Linked DNA regions of Macaca fascicularis. The protein of the gene in region 1 binds, or shares a complex with, the protein of each later gene. Links are inferred from orthologs where the notes say so. Each region holds a gene or a part of one and is shown in the gene's direction. Other genes may lie near its edges.

Evidence for each region.
Region 2: KAT7 (region 1) and JADE3 share a complex: the UniProt entries of both Homo sapiens proteins name them as parts of the HBO1 complex. The link is inferred for Macaca fascicularis from reciprocal best matches to the Homo sapiens genes KAT7 and JADE3.
Region 3: the proteins of KAT7 (region 1) and BRD1 are in contact, whole or in part, in a crystal structure (PDB 5GK9), measured with the Homo sapiens proteins. The link is inferred for Macaca fascicularis from reciprocal best matches to the Homo sapiens genes KAT7 and BRD1. Residues at the interface, in NP_008998.1 of Homo sapiens: Leu531, Phe534, Gly536, Lys537, Glu538, Ile539, Ser540, Ile541, Lys542, Pro552, Val553, Val556, Gln560, Leu565, Tyr567, Lys571, His572, Leu573, Val574, Leu575, Lys576; in XP_047297239.1 of Homo sapiens: Val40, Ile42, Glu43, Ile44, His49, Arg50, Ile51, Ser52, Ile53, Phe54, Asp55, Pro56, Leu57, Glu58, Ile59, Ile60, Leu61.
Region 4: KAT7 (region 1) and ING5 share a complex: the UniProt entries of both Homo sapiens proteins name them as parts of the HBO1 complex. The link is inferred for Macaca fascicularis from reciprocal best matches to the Homo sapiens genes KAT7 and ING5.

The regions. Positions count from the first base shown.
Region 1 is NC_088390.1:56,916,048-56,921,454, reverse strand, and holds part of KAT7 (histone acetyltransferase KAT7), read left to right. Parts: intron 1-1,637; coding exon 1,638-1,785; intron 1,786-5,407. UniProt on the Homo sapiens protein: Catalytic subunit of histone acetyltransferase HBO1 complexes, which specifically mediate acetylation of histone H3 at 'Lys-14' (H3K14ac), thereby regulating various processes, such as gene transcription, protein ubiquitination, immune regulation, stem cell pluripotent and self-renewal maintenance and embryonic development.
Region 2 is NC_088395.1:47,017,651-47,023,764, forward strand, and holds the start of JADE3 (protein Jade-3), read left to right. Parts: upstream 1-2,736; 5' UTR 2,737-2,825; intron 2,826-2,905; exon of another isoform or gene 2,906-3,204; intron 3,205-6,114. UniProt on the Homo sapiens protein: Scaffold subunit of some HBO1 complexes, which have a histone H4 acetyltransferase activity.
Region 3 is NC_088384.1:1,728,924-1,735,091, forward strand, and holds the start of BRD1 (bromodomain-containing protein 1), read left to right. Parts: upstream 1-2,068; 5' UTR 2,069-2,421; intron 2,422-2,519; exon of another isoform or gene 2,520-4,181; intron 4,182-5,574; 5' UTR 5,575-5,588; coding exon 5,589-6,168. UniProt on the Homo sapiens protein: Scaffold subunit of various histone acetyltransferase (HAT) complexes, such as the MOZ/MORF and HBO1 complexes, that acts as a regulator of hematopoiesis.
Region 4 is NC_088386.1:137,647,973-137,653,379, forward strand, and holds part of ING5 (inhibitor of growth protein 5), read left to right. Parts: intron 1-1,394; coding exon 1,395-1,561; intron 1,562-3,369; coding exon 3,370-3,481; intron 3,482-3,963; coding exon 3,964-4,057; intron 4,058-5,407. UniProt on the Homo sapiens protein: Component of the HBO1 complex, which specifically mediates acetylation of histone H3 at 'Lys-14' (H3K14ac) and, to a lower extent, acetylation of histone H4. Component of the MOZ/MORF complex which has a histone H3 acetyltransferase activity.

The DNA.
Region 1 (5,407 bases):
GTCTTCTTTCTTTTTTTTTTTTTTTTTTTTTTTTGAGACGGAGTCTCGCTCTGTAGCCCAGGCTGGAGTGCAGTGGCCGGATCTCAGCTCACTGCAAGCTCCGCCTCCCGGGTTCACGCCATTCTCCAGCCTCAGCCTCCCGAGTAGCTGGGACTACAGGCGCTGCCACCTCGCCCGGCTATTTTTTGTATTTCTTAGTAGAGACGGGGTTTCACCGTGTTAGCCAGGATGGTCTCGATCTCCTGACCTCGTGATCCGCCCATCTCGGCCTCCCAAAGTGCTGGGATTACAGGTTTGAGCCACCGCGCCCGGCCTGTCTTCTTTCTTAATTTCCTGAATACCAGGAGTTTCTTGAAAATGTACATTTTTTTAGTAACCTGTTTGGCGGCAAACCTGTCTTAATCTGTCCTGAGGCTACTTACGGTTTTTGTGTGTCTCATTTAGTGTGACTGTTTATATCTTTTGCTGCAGAAGTATTATGTTTTGTTATTGCACCCAATATTTGCAGGATACATGCAAAGTACTCCCCTTCTAAAAATAAAAAAACAATACGAATTCTAAACACAACTGGCCCTCAGGGTTTTGAATAAAGAATTGGGACTTACAGCGTGAATCTTTGTATTTTTAGCAAATATTTTTTCCTTTCTGGTTTTGTAAAGGGTATAGTGTTAGTGCTCAATTGATAAAAGTTATCTTTATGGCTAAGAAAGAACTCCTGAGGAGGTTAATAATTGACAAATAATTGTTCATTGAAAAGATGGTTTTGAAAACAACTGTTTTTGAATACCCATGAGTCTCCATGTGCAAGCTGCCTTTTTGAAAGATAGATGGCTTTCATGTGGAGAAACTTCAAGGATAGATGGCATACGCAGTAACAATTTTCGTCTTTTTCTGCTTAAATTCTTTTGGGATCAGAGTTGTGGTCCATGATATTTTGAGATGGTATATGGTTTTAAAAAAATATGATAGCTTTTCATGGAGACATTTAACAAAAGCTACTCTAAAGTTAAATGAGGTCTAGCACCAACGATTTTTTCACTACAGTGGACCTTTTTTTGTGATACTGATCTCCGAATGATCTTGGTTCATACTTAGTGCTAATACAGTAAGAATTAATTATCTTCATGGCTGGGTGTGGTGTCTCACGTCTGTAATCCCAGCACTTTGGGAGGCCAAGGCGGGTGGATCACCTGAGGTCAGATGTTCAAGACCAGCCTGGCCAACATAGTGAAACCCCATCTCTACTAAAAATATAGAAGTTAGCTGGGCGTGGTGGTGGGTGCCTGTAGTCCCTGCTACTTGGGAGGCCAAGGCAGGAGAATCACTTGAACCCAGGAGGCGGAAGTTACTGTGAGCTGAGATTGTGCCCTTGCCCTCCAGCCTGGGCAACGGGAGCCAATGAAATGGAAGCTCTTCATTTATTTAACAAAAGTCCCTTATTTGTACATTGTTCCATTTAAGTGTTCTAAATAAAGTGAAGTTGCCTGGGTGGGTGGGAGGATGGGAAATGCTTGTGGAATCCTTTCTTAGGTTTGAACTTGGTGTTTTCGGTGTCACAGCTTGTTTTATTTTCAATGTTAATGCAAACCCTCAGACCAAATGCTTCTGTGCTAATATCTGGATCTATGGTATTACAGAGGAATGCAGGCAGTAGTTCAGATGGAACCGAAGATTCCGATTTTTCTACAGATCTCGAGCACACAGACAGTTCAGAAAGTGATGGCACATCCCGACGATCTGCTCGAGTCACCCGCTCCTCAGCCAGGCTAAGCCAGAGTTCTCAAGGTAAAAATCTTCATTTTTCCTTACCACTCCTCACATCTGGCTGACTGGCCCATCACATTATTTTCCTAGTTAATGTGGAAACTGGTCCCTTGGCTTGGTGTAGATGACGGTGCACCAGATGATTGGTAAAATGTGGAGTGAATGCAGAGTTGTCAGGTCTTTAACAATGCTTCTGTTGGGGGCTGCTATCCAGTTTGTAGACCCAAAGGAACTGTGGATGGTATAATGGATAGAGACACATGTATGTCTTGAGTCATTTGTGTTTTTTTGTTTGTTTGTTTGTTTGTTTTTTTACATCGCCGTGTCTCCATCAGTAAAATGAAAATGTTATCCCTTCACTTTCTGTTTGAATGGTTTAGGCTTAGGGACTTGAAGTCCAGATGGTATCTGACTTATGGTGGTTTGATTTAATTATTATTATTTTTTTAACTTTACTGTGGTGCTAAAGCAATATGCATTCAGTAGAAACTTTTCGAATTTTGAATTTCAGTCCTTTCTTGGGCTAGTGATATGTGGCTGAAATATTTTCTTGTGATGCTGAATAGTGGCAATGAGCTATAACTCCCAGTCAGCGAGCCGTAACTCCCAGTTAGCCATTTGATCATGAGGGTAAACCAGTACTCTTCAGTGTACTGTCTTCAATAAATTACATGCAATATTCAACACTTTATTAAAAATAGGCTTTGTGTTAGATGATTGTGCACAATTGTAGGCTAATGTAAGTGATTTGAGCCTATTTAAAGTAGGCTAGGCTAAGCTATGATGCTCGGTAGGTTAGGTGTATAGTGCTTTTATTTTCTGGAGACAGGGTCTCTGTTGCACAGGTTGGAGTGCAGTGGTGTGATCTTGGCTCACTGCAACCTTGACCTCCTTGGCCCAAGTGATCCCCCCACCTCAGCCTCCTGAGTAGCTGGGACTACTTGGGAGATCTTATTATGTTGTCCAGGCTGGTCTCAAACTCCTGGACTCAAGCAGTCCTTCCACCTTGGCCTCCCAAAGTACTGGGGTTATAGATGTGAGCCATCATGTTCAGCCTGTTAATACTTTCAACTTATGATGGTTTTGTTGGGACTTAACCCCATTATAAGTCAAGGAGCATCTGTAGTCTCTTGGACTTGTTATTGGCAGAGGCCCAGTACTTCTAAAACCATGTTTAATTCTGGAATGTAATCCAATACACACTTGATAAATATTAATAATTGTACCAAAATATCAGTGTGGAAATATAGAATTTTGCTTTGGTAATAAAGAATTGAGGATCTTGGGGTTGGAAGGTAGTTTGAAGTATCTCTAGTGCATTTAGGCATCTGGGGTTAAATTTGGAGGGTACCCTTGACCCCTCCTGGCTCTTCTCTGGTATTCCCTGAGGAGGAAAGAAGGTTGTAGCTAATATAGAGAGCTGATGATCAATAGGTGGTAATAGATTAGGGGAAAAAAGCTTTAACATGTTTTGAGCACTTCAACAGTGTTGCTTTCGTTACTTTTTTTTTCCCTGAGATGGAGTCTCGCTCTGTCGCCAGGCAGAGTGCAGTAACGTGATCTTGGCTCACTGCAACTTCTGCCTCCTGGGTTCAAGCAATTCTCCTGCCTCAACCTGCAAGTAGCTGGGACTATAGGCATGTGCCACCATGCCCAGCTAATTTTTGTATTTTTAGTAGAGGTGGGGTTTCACCATGTTGGCCAGGATAGTCTCAGTCTCTTGACCTCGTGGTTTGCCTGCCTCGGCCTCCCAAAGTGCTAGGATTATAGGTGTGAGCCACCGTGCCCTGCCGCTTTGGTCACTTTTATATCAGTATGTTGCACAACGAGAGAAAAACCATCAGTTTTTCAAGCAAGAAAGTGGGAATATCCTCTTTAACAACTGTTCTTAACTTTTTTTTTTTTTTTTTTTTGAGACGAAGTCTTGCTCTGTCGCCCGGGCTGGAGTGCAGTGGCCGGATCTCAGCTCACTGCAAGCTCTGCCTCCCAGGTTTACGCCATTAACTTTATTTTTGAATTTAGGATTTCAGCTAAAGTATTGCTATTGTCTCTTGATTTCTTAAGCTTTAAATTTTTACCACAATGAGACTATGGATAAATAGCTACTATAACTCAAGCACTATGTTATGTCCTAGGAACCATGATAGAAAAATCATAGTTCCTGTCCTCAAGGATCTTACAGTTCAGTGCAAGATATAGATATGAAAATTGGTCATGGGAATATATTATGGCAAGGGCTGTGAGAGGGGTTTGCATAGAGTACTACAGAAGCCCAGAGGTGGGATAGCCAACTTAGGGCAGCACTCCCACAACGATGAAGTCTTTTTTGTTGTTGTCGAGACAGAGTCTCGCTGTGTTGCCCAGGCTGGAGTGCAGTGGTATGATCTTGGCTCACTGCAGCTTCCGCCTCTTGGGTTCAAGTAATTCTCCTGCACCAACCTCCCATGTAGCTGGGATTACAGGTGAGCGTCACCATACCTGGCTATATTTTGTATTTTTAGTAGAGACGGGGTTCGCCATGTTGTCCAGGCTCGTCTTGAACTCCTGATCTCAAGTGATCTGCCCACCTCGGCCTCCCAGAGTGCTGGGATTACAGGCGTGAGCTGCCGTGCCGGGCTGCACACTGACGTCTTAAAGGCTCTGATAGGAATTTACAAGTTGAAAGATGGGAATATGTTATTCTCGGCAGATGGAACAGCATATGCTAAGGAAAAGACATAATGTTCGTAGAAAGTATAATTGACCATGCCCTAGACACCTGAAAACTAAATATTCAAAACAGCTAGGAAATGCGTAAGCCCTGGGTCTTGACCTCGTGACCACAGAGTTGCACAACTCTGGGGTACCATTTACAATGTCATCAATGTAAGGTGTTCCTCCCTAGAGCAAAATGTAGATCATATTGTGAAAGGAGGCCCCTGGAGATGTACAAGTTGATAACCTTGCTGTGTGCTAACTTTTCTCACCCGAAAGTTTGGAAATTTTCAGTTTTCTTCTTTGGAGAGTCTATAAGATTTCTTCAGATTTTTTGTTGTTAAAATATCCGTTGGGGGGTGCAGCTGCGAGAGAGTGAGGCTGACACCTGGCCTGTGCATCCTGCCCTCCAAAAAAAAAAAAAATTAATTAATTAAAATAAAATATACTTTAGAGAGGATTTTGAATGTTCTCACCACAAAGAAATGACAAGTGTTTGAGATATGGATATGCTAATTATTTTGATTTCATCATTACACAATGTATACATCTATCAGAACATCACAGTATACTCCATAAATATGTACACTTATGCGTCGATTAAAACAAAGCTAAGACTGCTAGGGGCTTACGCGGAGGGAGTTGAGCCAGCATCACCACGATGATGTTGGAGAGCGAGCAGTTCCTGATGGAGCTGACCAGACTCTTCCAGAAGTGCTGGAGGTTGGGCAGCATCTATATCACCTTGAAGAAGTAGAGTGGTCGAACCAAACCTGTTCCAAAGAAAGGTTCTGTGGAGGGCTTTGAGCCCTCAGACAAGTGTCTGCTAAGAGCTATCTATGGGAAAAAGAAGGTCAGCACTGTGGTGAGCTCCAAGCAAGTGAATAAGTTTCAGATGGCTTATTCAGACCTACTGAGTGCTAACATGGATGGGCTGAAGGGACAAAAA
Region 2 (6,114 bases), on another chromosome or scaffold:
CTGGAGCTAGATGAAGATGTCTTAGACACAAAAACATGTCTTAGACACAAAAACACAAAAACATGATACATAAATGCAAAAACTGGTAAATTGGACATCATCAAAATTTAAAATTTGGTCTGCAAAATCTCTTAAGAGGATGAAAAGACCAGCTACAAACTGGCAAAAATATTTGCAGATCATATATCTGACAGAGGATTTGTATCTAGAATATAGTATACAGAATTCTCAAAATTTAATAGTAAGAAACAATCCGATTAGAAAATGGGCAAAAGACTTGAACGGACATTTCACCAAAGAGGTTATACAGATGGCAAATAAGCACATGAAAAGATGCTCAACATCATTAGCCATTAAGGAAATGCAATTTAAAATAACAATGAGACATCACTACACACCTATTAGAATGGCTAAAAGAAAAAGATAGTGACAATACCAAATGCTGACAAAGATGTGGAGAAACGAGATCTCTCATACATTGCTGGTGGTAATATAAAATGGTAGAGTCTGGAAAAGTTTGGCATTTTCTTACAACACTAAATATACACATACCATCTGACCCAGCAATTGCACTCCTGAGCATCTGTCACAGAGAAATGAAAACTTATGTTTACACAAAAACTTCTACATTAATGCTCATATCAGTTCTATTCTTAACAGGCAAACATTGGAAACAACTCAAATGACCTTCAATGCATGAATAAACAAACTGTCTAGTATAGACATCCATACTAGAGACTACTACTCAGTAATAAAAAGCAACAAATCATTGAGACATGCAATAAACTTGGGTGCATCTCAAGAAAATTATGCTGAGTGAAGAAAAGCTGATTTCAAAAGGTATGATTCCATTTATGTAATATTCTTGAAATGACAAATTTATAGAGATGGAGAACATGTTAGGGGTTGCCAGAAATTAGAGCAGGAGAAAGCGGTGACTGTGACTACAAAGTGTAGCAGGAGGAATCTTTGTGGTGGAGAAAAAGTTGATTGTGGTGATTACACAAATTTAAAGTGTTAAAATTGCACAGAACTATATACACAGACTCAGAAATCAGTGCATGAAAAATTGATGAAATCTGGAACAGGTCTGTAGATTGTATTAATGTTAATATCTATATTGTATTATAGTTATCTATAACCGTTGGGGGAAACTGGGCGAAGGGTACATGGGACCACTCTGTACATTTTTCTTTTTACAACTTCTGGTGAATCTATAATTATTTTTAAATAAGTATAATAAAGTGAGATAAGTCTGAAAGACTACGAATATTTTAGAACTCACACATTTCCATATTATGGAATATAACTAGATCTTTGACATGGAAAACAGACAAAATACAAAAGAGCCTACATTATTGTTCATCCTAGAAATGTAAATGAAAATAGCCCAGGACGGTAGCTCATGCCTGTAATCCTAGCACTTTGGGAGGCCCAGGCAGGCAGATAGCTTGAGCTTAGGAGTTCAAGACCAGCCTGAGCAACATGGTGAAACTCTTTCTCTACTAAATAAATAAATAAATAAATAAATAAATAAATAAATCGGGCCATGGTGGCATGTGCCTGTAGTCCCAGCTACTTGGGAGGCTGAGGTGGGAGAATCACTTGAGCCTGGGAGGTGGAGGTTGCAGGGAACCAAGAGATCTCGCCACTGCATTCTAGCCTGGGTGACAGGGAGCCAAGAGGTTGCAGTGAGTCAAGATCGAGGCACTGCATTCTGCATTCCAGCCTGGCGACAGAGCGAGACCCTGACTCAAAAAAAAAAAAAAAAAAAAAAAAAAGAAAGAAAAAGAAAAAGAAAGAAAAGGAAAAGAAAAAAGAAAGAGAATGAGTATGAGTTCATCATAGTTGCATATAGTACATTTCCAAACCCAGAGAGGTAAGCCAAAAAGGTTTGTTGCTTAAACATCTATATTAGGATTCAACCAAAGGATCAGAACCAGTAGGAAATTATATATATACACACACACACACACCCACACCCACGGCGCCCAACCCGCCAGAAGAACGCGTGGTGGGAATATATGTATATACACTCCCTGTTCATTCATTTCTTCGAAGCTATTGTCTTAGACGATTGTGGTGGTGGCTAAGTAAATCCAAAACCTGTAGGGCACGCAGTCAGGAAGGGAAGATCAGGAGAAGGCTAGAACCAATGGGCACCGGCCAAAGGTGTCATCCATAGGGGAAATTCTTTCTCTAACGTACTGAGCACCCTCAGCCCTGATTGAAAGGCTTTCCAACTGATTCCTTCAGGCCCACCTAGATTATCCAGGATTATCTCCCTAACTTTAAGTCAACTGATTAGGAGCTTTAATTACATCAGCAAAATACCTCCAGAGCAACACCTGAATTGACATTCTATCAAATAACTGTGGGCTGTAGCCTAACCAGTGGACACATCGAAAAAGCCACACAACATCACAAACCACCTGTGCTGGCAACTGACTAAATGAATTCTGTTAATAGCCACTTTGGCTTTATTATTACAGGTAATTCAAGCACAAGCGACATAAATCAATAACGGCCGCCGAGTTGATGTATGAGAGTCCCACTTTGGAACTTCGGAGTTGGAAGGGGCCATGAAAAGCTTAGTCCGTATTTCAACACAGCCTAGGCATCCGCACCTCGTCCTCTCTAGCGCTCGGCGGGGCTGGGGCGTCTCGGGCAGTGGCTCACCCAGCTGGACGGGAGGGGAGCCCACCTGGAACGCGGCGCCGCGGGTGCGGGAGCGGCGAGTGGGCGGGGCGTCGAGGCGGCGGGTGGCGACGGCGCCCAGCCCGCCAGAAGAACGCGCGGCGGGCAGACGGCTGGGAGCCGCTCCGGTAGGGCGAGCGCGGCCGGCGGTGGGTGGGAGGAGAGGTTGGGGGAGGAAGGAAAGGGAAGAGGCGGAGCGTGGGAGCGCACAGTGTCAGGAATACAATAGTGCTCCGCGCCGCCTCAGCCGCCGCCGCCGCCCAACCGCCTGCCCAGCGCTGAGGCCTGACGGGCCGGGCGGACGAGGGCCGAGGGCGGGAGCTGAGGCGCGGGGGGCGGCCCCGGCGGGGGGCGGGGGCGAGGAGGGGATTAAGGGGCAGGTGCGAGGGAGGGAAGAGAAGAAAGCGAGCGGTTAGGGGGGCGGTTACCACTCCGACCGGACTCACCCGGCACATTGCCGGGCCGCGGCGTGGAGCCGGGCAGGAGCCGCGAGCCAGCTGCGCGAAGGTAGGCACCGCGGAGGCCGGACCCGGCGCGGGCGAGGTTGGGGGCGTCGCGCCGGGTGGGCGGCGGGAGCGGCGGCCTCCGGGAGTGGAAGCGAGCGGCGCGGAGCGCACAGTCCCGGCCCGGCCTCGCCGCGCTCCGGGTCGCTCCGGTTCCACATCGTGGTCGCCTCCGGCGTCCCCGGCGCCTTGGGGCCGAGAGCGTGTGTGGGCTGAGGTAAAGTGCCTAGTGGTCCCTCTGCCGGCCCGGGCAGTGCTTGGTGGCCCGGGCGGGGGGCGGGGGCGGACGCGCGAGCTTGGCTGCAGCTCCCGGCTACACCGGGCAGGAATTGAGCGCCATAACTGTTGCGGCTCTTTCCTCCGGTGCCCCCTCCTGGCGCCCCCTCCTCCGTCCCTGCCCTTTGCCTGGCTTCGGGGCTGACGGGGCCAGACCCGTGGCGGGAGGACCTGCTCTGTCGACCGCCAGGGGTCGGATGCTCCAGGGAGCGAGGGCGCGCCCTGGCTGTTTAGATGTTGGGGGGCGGAAAGAACCGAGTGCCTGGAGAGGGAAGAACGGGTGGTGCTGGGTGCGGCGAGGCACCCCGGAGAGCTCGGGTGCCCACCCGGCGGGAGCGAGAGCGCGGGCGCCCGGCGGGTCGGCGAACTTTCCCTCCCGCTGGCGGCATTGTTCGAACTGCGGGTCCGTGGCCGCCGAGCGTCGGGCGGTCCCGGGGTGGGAAAATCGTGAGGGCTTTGCTAGTCTTTCGGAGAAATTTTCCCACCGCTGGGCACGGCAAAGTTAACTTTTCTCCAGCTTTCGAGTTCGTTTCATTCCCTCCGCCCCGAGGGCCGTAGTTTGTTTTTGTTTTGTTTTCTTTTTTGGTTTTTTGTTTGTTTAGTTTTTTTAAATAGCCTTCAATCTTTTTCTCCCGCTTTTCAGAGCAGAGCCAGTGCTTCGGTGGAGTCTAGCTTTAAATTGCACAGAGCAGCCTTCGTTTGTTATTTGTGAGGAGTGGGTGGCGGGATCTGGAGTGAGTGACCACAATGGTGGTATGTGGAGGCATGTTTCAAAGTTTTTATCGCTGTGCAGCCCTGGGACATATGTAGCTGCTAGGGATTTGGCAAGAAACTTGTTTGGCCGCTTCTCCGACTTTGAGTTGCAAGGAAATCCATGGCCTCAGATGTGCGCGAGTTGTTTTGTGTGTGTGTGTGTGCCGTGAGGTGCGTTTATCTCTGAAGCTGAGGATGAGATTCCCCCCTCCCGCCCTCTGATTGTGTAAGAAGTCAGAAACCGTGTTGAAGGTGATTCCAGTGGTGGCCTGGAGGGAAAGGCGACCTCATTCCCTGTGTTCAGTCTGATAAAGTGAACTGCTGCTCTCTAAATTTGGGAAGTAATGAAAAATAATTTAGGTAAAAACTGGTTGCACAACGTCTTTGCTTAGTTTAAGCAACCCGCAATCCACTTTCCTAGACCAGTTCTCCTCTTAAATACTTTCCCTTTGGCCACTTCTTGTCAGCCTAGGTCTGGGAGGGGGAAAGAGTAGGGCTGAGAGAAGAGTCGGTCTGAACAAAGCATTGTGTTTTTATTTAGTTTAATACTTCCAAAACATCTGTAGACAATGGGAATGTGGGTCCCGGCCTTCGTACCCTTTGAGTAGTGTGGTTCTTATGCTTTTGTAACATCATGGGATTACTCTTCGGATAAGTGAAAATAGATTTTTTTTTCTTTTTTGTTTAACCTAGAAGTATTCTACCTCCATATCATTTTCTCTTTCATTTAAAGTGAGCTCTGAGCTTAAATACTTGAACTGTAAAAGGATAATACCCTCTCTTCAAGGATTACCTGAGATCTTTGAGAAGTGTTTCAGTGCCCAGCGTGTATTCAACTCTCAATCGATGTTAGCCACCATCATTGCCACCTTTTCTCCAGTTGTGCTCTTCTTTACGCTTTTGTTTGCTAGAGAATAGCTTTTAACCCAATATTGTTGCCTTGCATTTTCTGTCCAGTCAATTCTGGAGTACTCAGGGGTGCAAGGCTGGCTCTAGAATTCACACTTTCTCTCTCCCCCCTTCTCTGAGTCATGTTGCTTGCCCTCAGCAATGCGATGTGAATCTGGTCACAGGTAGAAAAAAGTAGAGAAAGGCTTCCCACTCCTCCCTGAAGTGTTGTGACCCACCTTCAGGCCCGTAGGGGAGATTCCCAGGGGCAGGACAGGTGATGGTGTAGGGCTGGCATCATAGCTAAGAAGTATGGATTGGTGAAAGTTAAAGAGGAAAGGGTGTTGAAGACTTGTAGGTTTTGTATGGTTCTCTCCTTTAATAATGCTTGTCTTTTCCCTCTCCTGTGTTCCACCAACCATAACAACCCATTTTTTTCCCCTAACCTACACAAAGCTGTATCTTCTTTCTGCCCACTGCTTTGAGGTCAGTTTGGAACTAGGCAAGTATTTTGGAGGAGGTGGGGGAGGTAGGAGGCATCAGGTGTTGATGAAGACATGGCGTTAGAGAGCTCTTACAAGCCTTGATCAGAGTTGTAGAGAGCCAGTCCAAAAATGAAGTTGAACGTTATCATGGGACATAATGCACCTATCTCCTTGTTGAGCTTACACAAAATAGGAGCTGAGAAGACAGAGGTAATATGCTGTCTTACATTAAGAAAATCTCTCATTGAGGTATAATTTACTATGATCTTGACTTGCCCCACAATATAGGTGAGAAGTGAGTGTTAGGTGACACCTGTCTGGCACTCTCCTAACGTGGGGACACTTTAATGGCTCACAAGTTTCTGTTGTTCCAGTTACATTGGCTGGGAAAGCTGAAGCATTCTGGTTTGCATGGTGGGGAGGATCTAGGATGAATGGATAGAAGTGATAAAAGGATAAATGGTTACTAGCAAGTAAGTGATCATTACAGACCAAATAACTACCACTTTGAG
Region 3 (6,168 bases), on another chromosome or scaffold:
TTGAGCTCATCTGGGATTTCTCTCAGGTTGATTTTAACAGACCAGACTGATTTATTTGCTAGCATCCACGTCTTACTCTTGAGTCCACTTTTCACTTTGTTAAGGTATTTCTTCTAGTACTTTTAGAGACTGCGTGTGTGGTAAACATGGATGTTTACAAGCCGTGAAGACACCTTTATTTTGCTGTCTCACTGGAACGCTAGTTTCACTGTGTATGAGTTATGGTTCAATTCTCTTAGTATTTTGGCAACCCCTCCTCTGTAGGATCAGTCTGAACTCTAAAAAAGATCCTTTCTCTCTCTCCGAAGGCCTTCCTGAGTCTCCCTCTGACACGCCTACATTCGAGGCTTTGTTCTTCTCTCCTCTGAGCATCACCTCCATTGTCTGAGAAGTCACTGTCCCCGTCTCTCTCCTGTTCTGTGAAGGGTTTTGTGTCTCTTCATCTTCTCTTTCGTGAGACTGTGTCTTACTTTCACTCTGCGTTGTGGAGAACCTCCAGCTTGTTTCCATCTGGCTTCCCTGAGGTGGAGGAGAGAAGGGTTCCGGCTCAGCTTGCTTGTTTGGCCACAGGTAAACAGACATCAGTAGAATGGAGGTGACACGAAGTTCCTGGGTCTCGTGCAGAAGAGGTCAGGGCCCCAGTGGCCTGCACCCTCTCGGCTCAAGGGTGTGTCTGCAGGGAGTCCTAGATCAGGACTGACCACTAGGGACCTTGGCTGGGGTCCTACCTGCCCTCAAGTCTTCACATCACAACCCACGCACGGTGCCATGGGCATGAGGGCTGGCCAGGAAAAGGCCTGTGGGGCTTTGCCCCATCAGGGACACCTGGGTGAACAAAGCCACCCCACTCCCAATAAGGTGTTTGATGCAGTGCCCTGAGCAGTGGGGCCGCTCTGCTGCCCCATGGGGAAGGTCTGTCCCAGGGTGGACAGCTGCTCCGCCCGAGGGGCCTGCCTAGATGCCACAGGCTGGGCTGCTGGAACCCAGGGATTCCACAGCACCATCGTCCTGATCACAGATTCTCAAGGAAACCAAGGAGCTCCTGCCTCACCTTAAAACATTTTGGGACTTAATCTTGGAGTGAAAATTGTTATGACCCCACTGAATTTTAGAGTTTACACAAAAGGCCAAAGCGAAGGCAGAGACTCAGGCCTCTCAACTCGCGCCCGCAGGGGCCTTTTCTTGCAACCTCAAAGGGCATCTGCTTCACGCCGGACTGGGCAGGGCCCTCACACTGGCAGGACTACTTGCACACCTGGCCTGACACTCACTAGGGGAGGCTCCCCAGCCCGGCTGCACCACCTTCCCCTACTTAGTCGGGTGCCCCGGCCAGTGCCCCTTCCACTTCCACCCAGTGGGCCCACAGGGTCCCCTCTGCCCACTTAGGGCCCTCCACTCTGGGGCCAATCGCCCCCTGCCTCAGGGCCCCCCACTCCTGGGCCAATCGCCCTGCCTCAGGGCCATCCATTCCTGGCCGGTCCCCCCTGTCAGGACCCCGGACTCCCGGCTGCTCCCCCCTCCGCCCTCGAGGGCCCCCCCACTCCAGGGCCAATGCCCTTCTGCCTCAGGGACCCCCACTCCCGGCCGGTACCCCCACCTCTGGGTCCCCCACTCCCGGCCGGTCCCCCGGCCTCAGGGTCCCCCATTCCCGGACGGTGGTACCCCCTGCCTCAGGGTCCCCCACTCCCGGGCCGTCCCCCCGCCTCAGCGACCCCACCCCGGGCCAATGCCCTTCTGCCTCAGGGCCCCCGACTCCCGGCTGCTCCCCAACTGCCTCGGGTCCCCCACTCCTAGGCCTGTCCCCCTGCCTCAGGGCCCCTCATTCTCCATCCTCCTGACCTCCTCAGGGACCCTCTGGCCCGGTCCTCCCTAACTCAAGGGCCCCCACTCTCCATCCTCCCGACCCCCCACTCCCAGCCCGGTCCCTGCCGCCTCAGGGTCCCCACTTGGCCCCAGCTCCTCGCGACGCCCCCTCCCCCGCGCGCCGCTGAGGCGGCGGAGTCCGCGCGTCATGGCGGCGGCGGGCGGGGCGCGTCTCGCACGCAGCGCGCCGGGCGGAGCGCTCGCCGCATTGTTTGCTTCGCTGGGGAGCGAGCGAGCGACCCGGCCCTGGCGTCCGAGCCAGCCCCGCGTCCCGCGCCCGCCGCCCGCCGCCCGCGCCCGCCGGCCGGGCCCCCCGAGCCGGGCCTCCAGCCGGGCCCCGAGCCCGCGCCGCGCGAGCCGCCGCCCGAGAGTCCGCGGCCGCCGCTGCCGGGCCCGGAGCCGCCGCGGCCGAGAGGAGCCCGCGCCCAGGAGCGGCGGCGGGGCCCGGCCTGCGCGGCCGTTGGCGGAGGAGCCGCGGGCGCCATTAGCGCCGCCTCGGCCGCGCCGGCCCCCGCGCCCGCCCGCTTGCCGGGCTCCCGCGGCCGCGGCGCCCCGAAGGTGAGTGGGCGGAGGCCTGGCCGTGGAGGCCTCCCCGCCGCCTCGCGGGCCGCCCGGGCCTCCCGGGCCGCCGCCTCCGCCTCGGCCCGGCCTCTCGGGGTTGTGGTGCCGACGCCATGTTTGGCGGCGGCGGCGGCGGCGGCTCCGCATTGTCCGCGGACCGGGAGCCCGGGATGCCGGGGAGGCCGGGCGGGGAGACCGGGGAGTTCGGGCCGGGCGGCCGGGGAGACAGGCAGGGAGCCTGGGAGGCCGGGCGGGGAGACCGGGGAGGTCAGGCCGGGGAGTCGAGGGAGGCCGAGTCGGGCTATGGGTCTCGGCGGCCTGGGCCGCGGCGCCCGCCCGGAGTCCGCGCTCGAGTCGGGTCGGGCCTCGGGCAGCCGCCGAGCCGGCCGGGCCGCCCCTTATGTAACAGACAGGCCGGCCGAGCTCTGCCCAGACGGGAACTCCCTGTGAGCAGGGACGCGCCCCGAGATCGCCCAGGAGCCGCGCGGCCTGCGGCGGCCGGGCTGGAGAACCGGCGCCGCCGCCTCCCCGGGCGTTTGCAGGGAGACGCCTCGCGACGAACGCGAGGCTTCCCCGGGCCTTTTAAACGAGTGACACGATTGAAGCGCAGTTCACGGGAAACGCGGCTGTTGTGAGCGGACGCGGGAGTTCTGAGAATCCTCAGCAGCAGGAGCCCCTGCCCCGCGGGGTGCGGGCCCGTCCCCCAGAAAGCGCGGCCGTCCGGGTCTGTTTTTGAGGGTCGGTCGCCAGGTGGTTGTGTAGTTAGTGGAATCGGCGGAGGTTTTTGTTTGCCTGGCCCAGCGCCGTCCCGAGTGCCGTGTGCTTCACACAACTTCGCACAGCTCAGCGGCCGCGGCTCCCGTGGCCTTTAGGGAGCGGCCCGGCGCGTGGTCGGCTTCTCCCTGGGCGGGCGGTGGGAAGAGGGAAGCGGCCGTCTTGTGGGCAGCAGCCTTCCCTGCTTTTGGCCCGCAGAGCTCTTCAGGATGTACTTAAGGGAATTATTCCTTGAGAAGCGACGTGTGTGCCTCCGCGGATCCCTCCCCGTGGAAATGCGTGTCCCAGCACGGACAGAACCGGCCCAGGGGGGAAGCGGGGAAGCAGGGAAGGGCGTGGGTCGCCCTGCGCTGCCGAGGGTCTACTCTCCCCGGGTCCCAGTTCCGTGTTGAGAGCTGCTGTGGCCGTGAAGCCTTCGGTTCAGTTCTCCCCCTTGTAGAAAGTGTTGAGATGAAGAGCTTCGCGGCTCCCTGGGAGAGAGTGGGTTTCCGGGGGCTGCTTGTCGTTAGGGCGACTCAGGACTTTGCTGTCGAGGGAAAATTACAGGTTCGTTTCTGATCTGGTGAGTAACCAACTGTTGCTTCTGCCCCACCTCAGTAATGACGCGTGTCGCCGTCCCGGGTGCACTAGGGTAGCTCTCTGCAGGCTGTGGTGTCACCTCTGCAGGGCTCCCAGGGCCGGCTGGGCTGTACTGACAGCTCTCCAGGAATCCAGGGTTGAGTGGGTACCTGGAGGCCCTAGAAATGCAAGGGGGCTGAGGTTTGGCTGACCACATTTTCTCTCCTGTCCTCTCTGTAGGTAATTGCAATCTAGTTTCAACATACAATGAGGATTTCTGTCTGATACAGGGAAAGATACACGGTGGCTGGAGGGTCTGTCTTAAGAAGTGCCCTTGAAGTCGGCTGGGATTTCCTTTCGGGACTCACAGAGGGAAGCCTGCTCCCTGAGGGCTTTTTCTGAGGCCCAGTAGATCTAGGCCCAGGGTGAGGCTCTGAAGCCAGGCTGCTGCGGGTGCCCCTGCTCCCCCTGGGCCCCGAGGCCAGGCGTCCCTGACCTTGCAGGGCTAGATGCAGAGTGGGCCTTGGGCTTCAGCTGAGAATATTTGTTTTGCGAGTCAGTCACTGAAAAATCATTTTGCTTCCTGTCAGTGAAGTGTGGCGCTTTGGAGGGAGGCACTGCCCGGCGGGTGGTGGTCTTCACTGGAGGTGCCCACACACGAGGCACCCCGGGGACAGCTGGGAACAGACACAGTCCGTGGTGTTCGAACAGCAGAGGCCTCTGCCACAAGGAGCTGGAGGTATGGGTGGCAGCTCACTGATTTTGCCCATCTCTGGAACGGCAAATTCTCCTAAATCTCTGTGACCAAGTCTTCAGGCACCTGAGCCAGCGCTGGCAACCCTCCTGGTGAGGGTCTCTGCAAGCTTCTAGGGGGTCCTGGGGGCCGCCCCTCGCTGTGTAGCCTGAGCAGAGTGTCTACCTTCACGTGTGCCGGGGAGAACAGAGAGATGCCCTTTGGTGTATTGCACGTATCCGGATTCGCTCGGAAAGGAGGAGGACATGGCCAGCACCATTGTCTCACTGGGGCTTGAGGAGTGCCCCTGAGGGGAAGCGGCAGGTTGACTCGGCCTGTGGGTGTTTCCATGGTGGTCACTGTCAAGGCTCTGCAGAAGTGGGGTTAGGGCCTCCCAGGGGCGAAGACTGTCCCCTCAGACCAGTACAGGGCTCCCCTGTTGGTCCCCTGTGCTGTGGTGTGCGTGTGGAGGGCCTGTCTATAGAGCATGGACAGACTGTGGTCTGTCTCCTACCCCTAGCCCAGCAGGAATGCTGCAAGGACCGTGGTGACTTTGGGCTCATGTGGGTGCTCTCCTGGGAGCAGTGGGGAGGGGAAGAGTGGTTTAGGGGGAGTATCCGATAGGACCAGGTAGCCACTGAGCATGCCTCTCTGGTGGGCATAGCCTCTGTGTCTGGTGGGGTCCAGCCCTATATGTGGACTTCCTGGGGGATCGCCTGCATGCCAGGAAAGTCCAGCTGTGGGCTCTGGGCCAGACCCCTCCTTCTTGGGGAGCATTTCTGTGGTCTCCGCAGCCTGTTGGTGTGGTCTGAGAGGGGACTGGTGTGTAGTGATAGGGATGCAGGTGCTCAGGAGGGCTCCTCAGGCTGCCTCTCTGCCTATTACCGCTGTTCTCTCCCTGGTCCTGGGGAGTTGCTTGGGCCTGGATGCGTGATTTTTGACACCTTGGAAAGAAGTTAGTTGTGAGTTTTGCTTTGATTGGGTTTTGAGCTGGTGAGCTAGATCTGCCCAAGCGTACTTTTGCAGCTTTCTCGAGTCTTTGGTCACCCTGCATAGAATTAACTTTATCTTTGCCTTTATTTTAGGTAATCATTACCAAATGAGGAGGAAAGGACGATGTCATCGAGGCTCTGCAGCGAGGCATCCTTCCTCCCCGTGCAGTGTTAAACACTCCCCCACGCGAGAAACGCTGACCTACGCTCAAGCTCAAAGGATGGTAGAGATAGAAATTGAAGGGCGCTTGCACAGGATCAGTATTTTTGATCCCCTGGAGATCATATTAGAAGATGACCTCACGGCTCAAGAGATGAGTGAATGCAACAGCAATAAGGAAAACAGCGAGCGGCCCCCTGTCTGCTTAAGAACTAAGCGTCACAAAAACAACAGAGTCAAAAAGAAAAATGAAGCCCTCCCCAGCGCCCACGGCACGCCGGCCTCGGCCAGCGCCCTTCCAGAGCCCAAGGTGCGCATCGTGGAGTACAGCCCTCCATCCGCCCCCAGGAGGCCTCCGGTGTACTACAAGTTCATCGAGAAGTCGGCCGAGGAACTGGACAACGAGGTGGAGTACGACATGGATGAGGAGGACTACGCCTGGCTGGAGATCATCAACGAGAAGCGCAAGGGCGACTGCGTCCCCGCCGTGTCGCAGAGCATGTTTGAGTTCCTGATGGACCGCTTCG
Region 4 (5,407 bases), on another chromosome or scaffold:
CAGGTGATCTACCCGCCTCAGCCTCCCAAAGTGCTGGGATTACAGCCATGAGCACCGTGCCCGGCCTAGGCACACGTTTTGCAAGACTGAGATAGCTGTGTTTTTTCGCTTAGGTACAGCATCTTGACTAGGGAATATAGAGAGTTATTTAATTGCAAAATGTAACATATATTCAGAAATGAGGTACAACATTTATAGATTGCTTAACAAATATTACCAGGTGAACCTCTCTGTTTTCTGCTACTGAGATGGAGAAATCAAGCCCTTTAGCACCTGAAGACCTTTGTGACCCTCCTAGTCATGACACCCATCCATCCAAGGGGTGACCATCTTGAGTTTGGTGATAGTCACCTTCCACCTTTAACAGTAGTTTTCTTTTTTTTTTTTTTCTGAAATGGAGTCTCGCTCTGCCATCAGGCTGGAATGCAGTGGCACAATCTCGACTCACTGCAACCTCTGCCTCCTGGGTTTAAGTGATTCTCCTGCCTCAGCCTCCTGAGTAGCTGGGACTATAGGCGCGTAACTCCACGCCCAGCTAATTTTTGTATTTTTAGAAGAGGCGGAGTTTCACCACGTTGGCCAGGATGGTTTCCATCTCTTGACCTCATGATCCACCTGCTTTGGCCTCCCAAAGTGCTGGGATTACATGCGTGAGCCACCGCGCCCGGCCTTCAACAGTAGTTTTCTTACCTCTCTAAACCAAAGAGTTACGAGCTGTGTCTGTTTCTGCCCTTTGTATTAATGGAATCATCCGGTATGTTTTCTTTTGTTTCTTGCTCTTTTTGCTCTGTGTCACCTTCTGTGGGAATCATCCGTGTTGCTGTGTGTAGCTGTGGTTTGCTCTATTTGTTGCTGAGTAGCACTCTGTTGTCTGAAGGGACCACATCTGATTTCTCCATTTCACTGAGGATTGGACATTTGGGTTGTTTTCTGTTTCCTGCTCTTATGAATGTTTTCCCACGTGTATTTCTTTAGGTTACATAAGGTTTCTTTAGGGTGTTTAAGAGTAGTATGTTCTTTCTTGACTGCTCTACCGAAAAAAAAAGAAAACAAAAAAAAGAGTAGTATGCCAGGGCATAGGAAAGGTGACTACATAATTAATTATTCACACAGGATGTTTGAGAGTCAAAGAGGGCACTGTGACCACCTGCTGTGTAACATTCAGAACTGGGACTGTTCTGGGCACGCTGCCGTAAAGTCTGCACATCCACATGATCCCAGACTGTTTGTGCAGAACGGTTCTGCCCACTTGCACTCCCACCAGCACGGCGTGAGTTCATGTCAGCCTACGTCTTTGCCACAACTTGGTGTTGGCTGACTTTAGTTGTTGCCGGTCTAGTGAGCCCATCGTGGTGTCTTGTGCAGGGCTAGCTTTTCCCCCATTTCTCCATCAGATAAGAAAGCAGAGATTGACATCCTGGCTGCAGAGTACATCTCCACGGTGAAGACGCTATCTCCAGACCAGCGCGTGGAGCGCCTGCAGAAGATCCAGAATGCCTACAGCAAGTGCAAGGAATACAGCGATGACAAAGTGCAGCTGGCCATGCAGACCTATGAGATGGTGAGGGTGGGTGGGGGCCACGGCACCCGCAGACCTATGAGATGGTGAGGGCGGGCGGGGGCCACGGCACCCGCAGACCTATGAGATGGTGAGGGCGGGCGGGGGCCACGGCACCCGCAGACCTATGAGATGGTGAGGGCGGGGCGGGGGCCACGGCACCCGCAGACCTATGAGATGGTGAGGGCGGGGCGGGGGCCATGGGTCTTCCTCCGACCTCTACTGCCTCTCATGCAACAAAATGTAAAAACTGCCCAGAAATGGGCATAGCCAAGTGGAAGGCTAGCTTTGGTAGCCTGACGCTGCTGGAGGAAATACAGACAAGATACACTTCATGTGGGACCATCCTTGTTTTTTTTTTTTTTTTTTCTGGACCCTTTTTGTTTGTGTATCTGCTCGGAGGAACCATTTGGTTTTTTTTTTTTTTTTGAGACAGTCTCACTTTGTCGTCCAGGCTGGGGTACAGTGGTGTAATCTTAGCTCAGTGCAACCTCCGCCTCCCAGGGTCAAGTGATTCTCGTGCCTTAGCCTCCCAAGTAGCTGGGATTACAGGCATGCAGCACCACCCCCACCTAATTTTTACATTTTTAGAAGAGACGGGGTTTCACCCTGTTGGCTACACTGGTCTCGAACTCCTGACTTCAAGTGATCCGCCCGCCTCAGCCTCCCAAAGTGCTGGGATTACAGGCATGAGCCACCATGCCCAACCTCCAGGTGGCCATATTTTATTTTATTTTACTTATTTTTTATTTTATTTTATTTTATTTTTGAGACAGTCTTGCTCTGTTGCCCAGGCTGGAGTGCAGTGGCATGATCTCAGCTCACTGCAACTTCCACTTCCCAGGTTTAAGCGATTCTCCTGCCTCAGCCTTCTGAGTAGCTGGGATTACAGGCATTACCAACAGGCTAATTTTTGTTTTTTGTTTTTGTTTTTTTTTTGAGACAGAGCTTTGCTATTGTTGCCCAGGCTGGAGTGCAATGCCACTATCTTGGCTCACCACAACCTCCGCCTCCCTTGTTGAAGCAATTCTCCTGCCTCAGCCTCCTGAGTAGCTGGGGTTATAGGCACGCACGACCAAGCCCGGCTAATTTTGTATTTTTGGTAGAGATGGGGTTGCTCCATGTTGGTCAAGCTGGTCTCGAACTCCTGACCTCAGGTGATCCTCCTGTCTCAGCCTCCCAAAGTGCTGGGATTACAGGTGTGAGCCACCGTGCCTGGCCTGTATTTTTAATAGAGATGGGGTTTTGCCATGTTGGCCAGGCTGGTCTCGAACTCCTGACCTCAAATGATCCACCCGCCTCGGCCTCACAGAGTGCTGGGGCTATGGCATGAGCCACTGCGCCTGCCCTAATTTTTGTATTTTTATTAGAGACGGGATTTTACCATGTTGGTCAGGCTGGTTTCGAACTCCTGACCTCAGGTGATCAGACTGCCTCGACCTCCCAAAGTGCTGGGATTACAGGTGTGAGCCGCTGCACCTGGCCTCCAGGTAGCCACATTTTAAAGTAGGATTCAGCGTCAGATATCCCAGGCCTTGTTCACCGCATTTCACAACTCTGCTTCTCATTATTGCCCACACGCCTGTCTTTTCCTTAAATGGGATTCATTCCACTGCAGTCAAAATATGCAGAAAAAGCACAAGACCTTGCATGGACTTTGAAATAGTGGGCCTGGATTTAGCAGAGGTTTGTTCACTGACGACTCAATTAAAGGGCAAGAAGGCATTTCCTAGTGGATACTTTTGTACATTTGTGATTTCTAAGGTGTTTCAGTTTTACTTTAAAACAAGACTTTGGGTATCCTTTTGTAGGTGGATAAACACATTCGAAGGCTTGACGCAGACCTGGCGCGCTTTGAGGCAGATCTGAAGGACAAGATGGAGGGCAGTGATTTTGAAAGCTCCGGAGGGCGAGGGTTAAAAAGCAAGTCTGTTAAATTTTTTTCTTTATTACTGTTAACTATGGCGTTTTGAAGTTTTGTCACAGTAAATCATTGAAGTATGATCACTAGGGTAAGTATCATATTTGGGTAAACCTTGTCTTGCAAGCTGGGCACAGTGGCTCACGCCTGTAACCCCAGCACTTTGGGAGGCCAAGGCAGGAGGATTGCTTGAGGCTGGGAGTTTGAGACCAACCTGGGCAACATAGTGAGACCTCATCTCAACAAAAAAGTTAAAAATTAGCCGGGTGTAGTGGTGCACACCTGTGGTCCCAGCTACTTGGGAGGCTGAGGTGGGTGGATTGCTTGAGCCTGGGAGGTCAAGGCTGCGGTGAGCTATGATTGTTCCATTGCACTCCAGCCAGCCTGGGAGACAGAGCGAGACTCCTTCTTAAAAACAAAACACAAAACTTGCCTTGCTTTAGCGAATTCTATAAAAATAATTTTCATCTTGATTGTTTTTCAGAAGGCCGGGGTCAGAAAGAAAAAAGAGGGTCCCGGGGCCGAGGCAGGAGGACATCAGAGGAAGATACACCAAAGAAAAAGAAGCATAAAGGAGGGTAAGAGGCTTTCCCCTCTTTTTCCCAGAAGAACAAATACCCATAGCCAGTATCCCGGATGTAGAAACACTGATGGAAGCTGACCCTTGAGTGAAGTGCACTCCGTGTGCTGGGTAGCATTCGGGTTCTTCTGGTTCTTATGCTGTGTGCCTGTCATCAGCCCGTCCTCACCGCAGCCATGGAGGGGGTGCCGTTGTTGGGCATTTTCCGTGTCGCAGGGACCTGCCCAGGCGTTAGAGCTGCTGTGGTGTGGCTGGGCCTGCACCTGGAGTCTGACTCCAGTGCCTGTCTTCTTAGCCACGGTGTGTGCTGCCCCGCTAGGGACAGTAGGTTGGTGAGCGTGTTGTTGACAGAGGCCAATGTAAACCACTCTTCAAGTAGCTAGATTTCTGTGTATCTGTCAGTTATTTTATGTGTCAGTATATAGTTTGCATATATTCATTGTTAAATTATGTGGCCACATTTATTAAATAGACATGTCATTTAACTTGAAGTTCTTTGAGATACTTTATTTAAAGCATTCTCCCACTGACACCCTCCCTGCCAAAGGTATTGTGTACCCTCCAAAGAGATCAGAGCATTACCTCGGAGGAGTGACATTTAGACTAAAGAGAAAATGCTGAAATGCCACAAAGCCTCTATGGAGATGATTCTGGTGGGGAGTGGTCAAAGAGTGTCAGTTTTGGGCATGGTGGCTCATGCCTATAATTCCAGCACTTTCGAAGGCCAAGGCGGGAGGATCACTTGAGCCCAGGAATCTGAGACCAGTCTGGGCAACAAAGTGAGACCCCCATCTCTACAAAAAATAGAAAAAATTAGGTGAGTGTAGTGGCGTGGGCTGTAGTCCCAGCTACTAAGGGAAACTGAGCTGGGAGGATCGTGAGCCATGATCGCACCACTGCACTCCAGCCTGGTCCACAGCGTGAGATTCTGTCTCAAAAAAAAAAAAAAAAAGAGTTCTTCATGACAAAAAAGGCACCATTTTCAGTTTTTTTGTTTTTTGTTTTTTGTTTTTTTTGAGACAGGGTTTCACTCTTGATGCCCAGGCTGGAGTGCAATGGCACAATTCTCCTGCCTCACCCTCCTGGATAGCTGGGACTACAAGCATGCACTACCATGCCCAGCTACTTTTTTGTATTTTTAGTAGAAATGGGGTTTCACCATGTTAGCCAGGCTGGTTTCGAACTCCTGACCTCAGGTGATCCACCCGCCTCAGCCTCCCAAAGTGCTGGGATTACAGGCGTGAGCCACTGCACCCGGCCCAATTTTCAGGTTTTTTTTTTTTTTTTGAGATGGAGTCTCACTCTGTCACTCAGGCTGGAGTGCAGTGGCACAATCTTGGTTCACTGC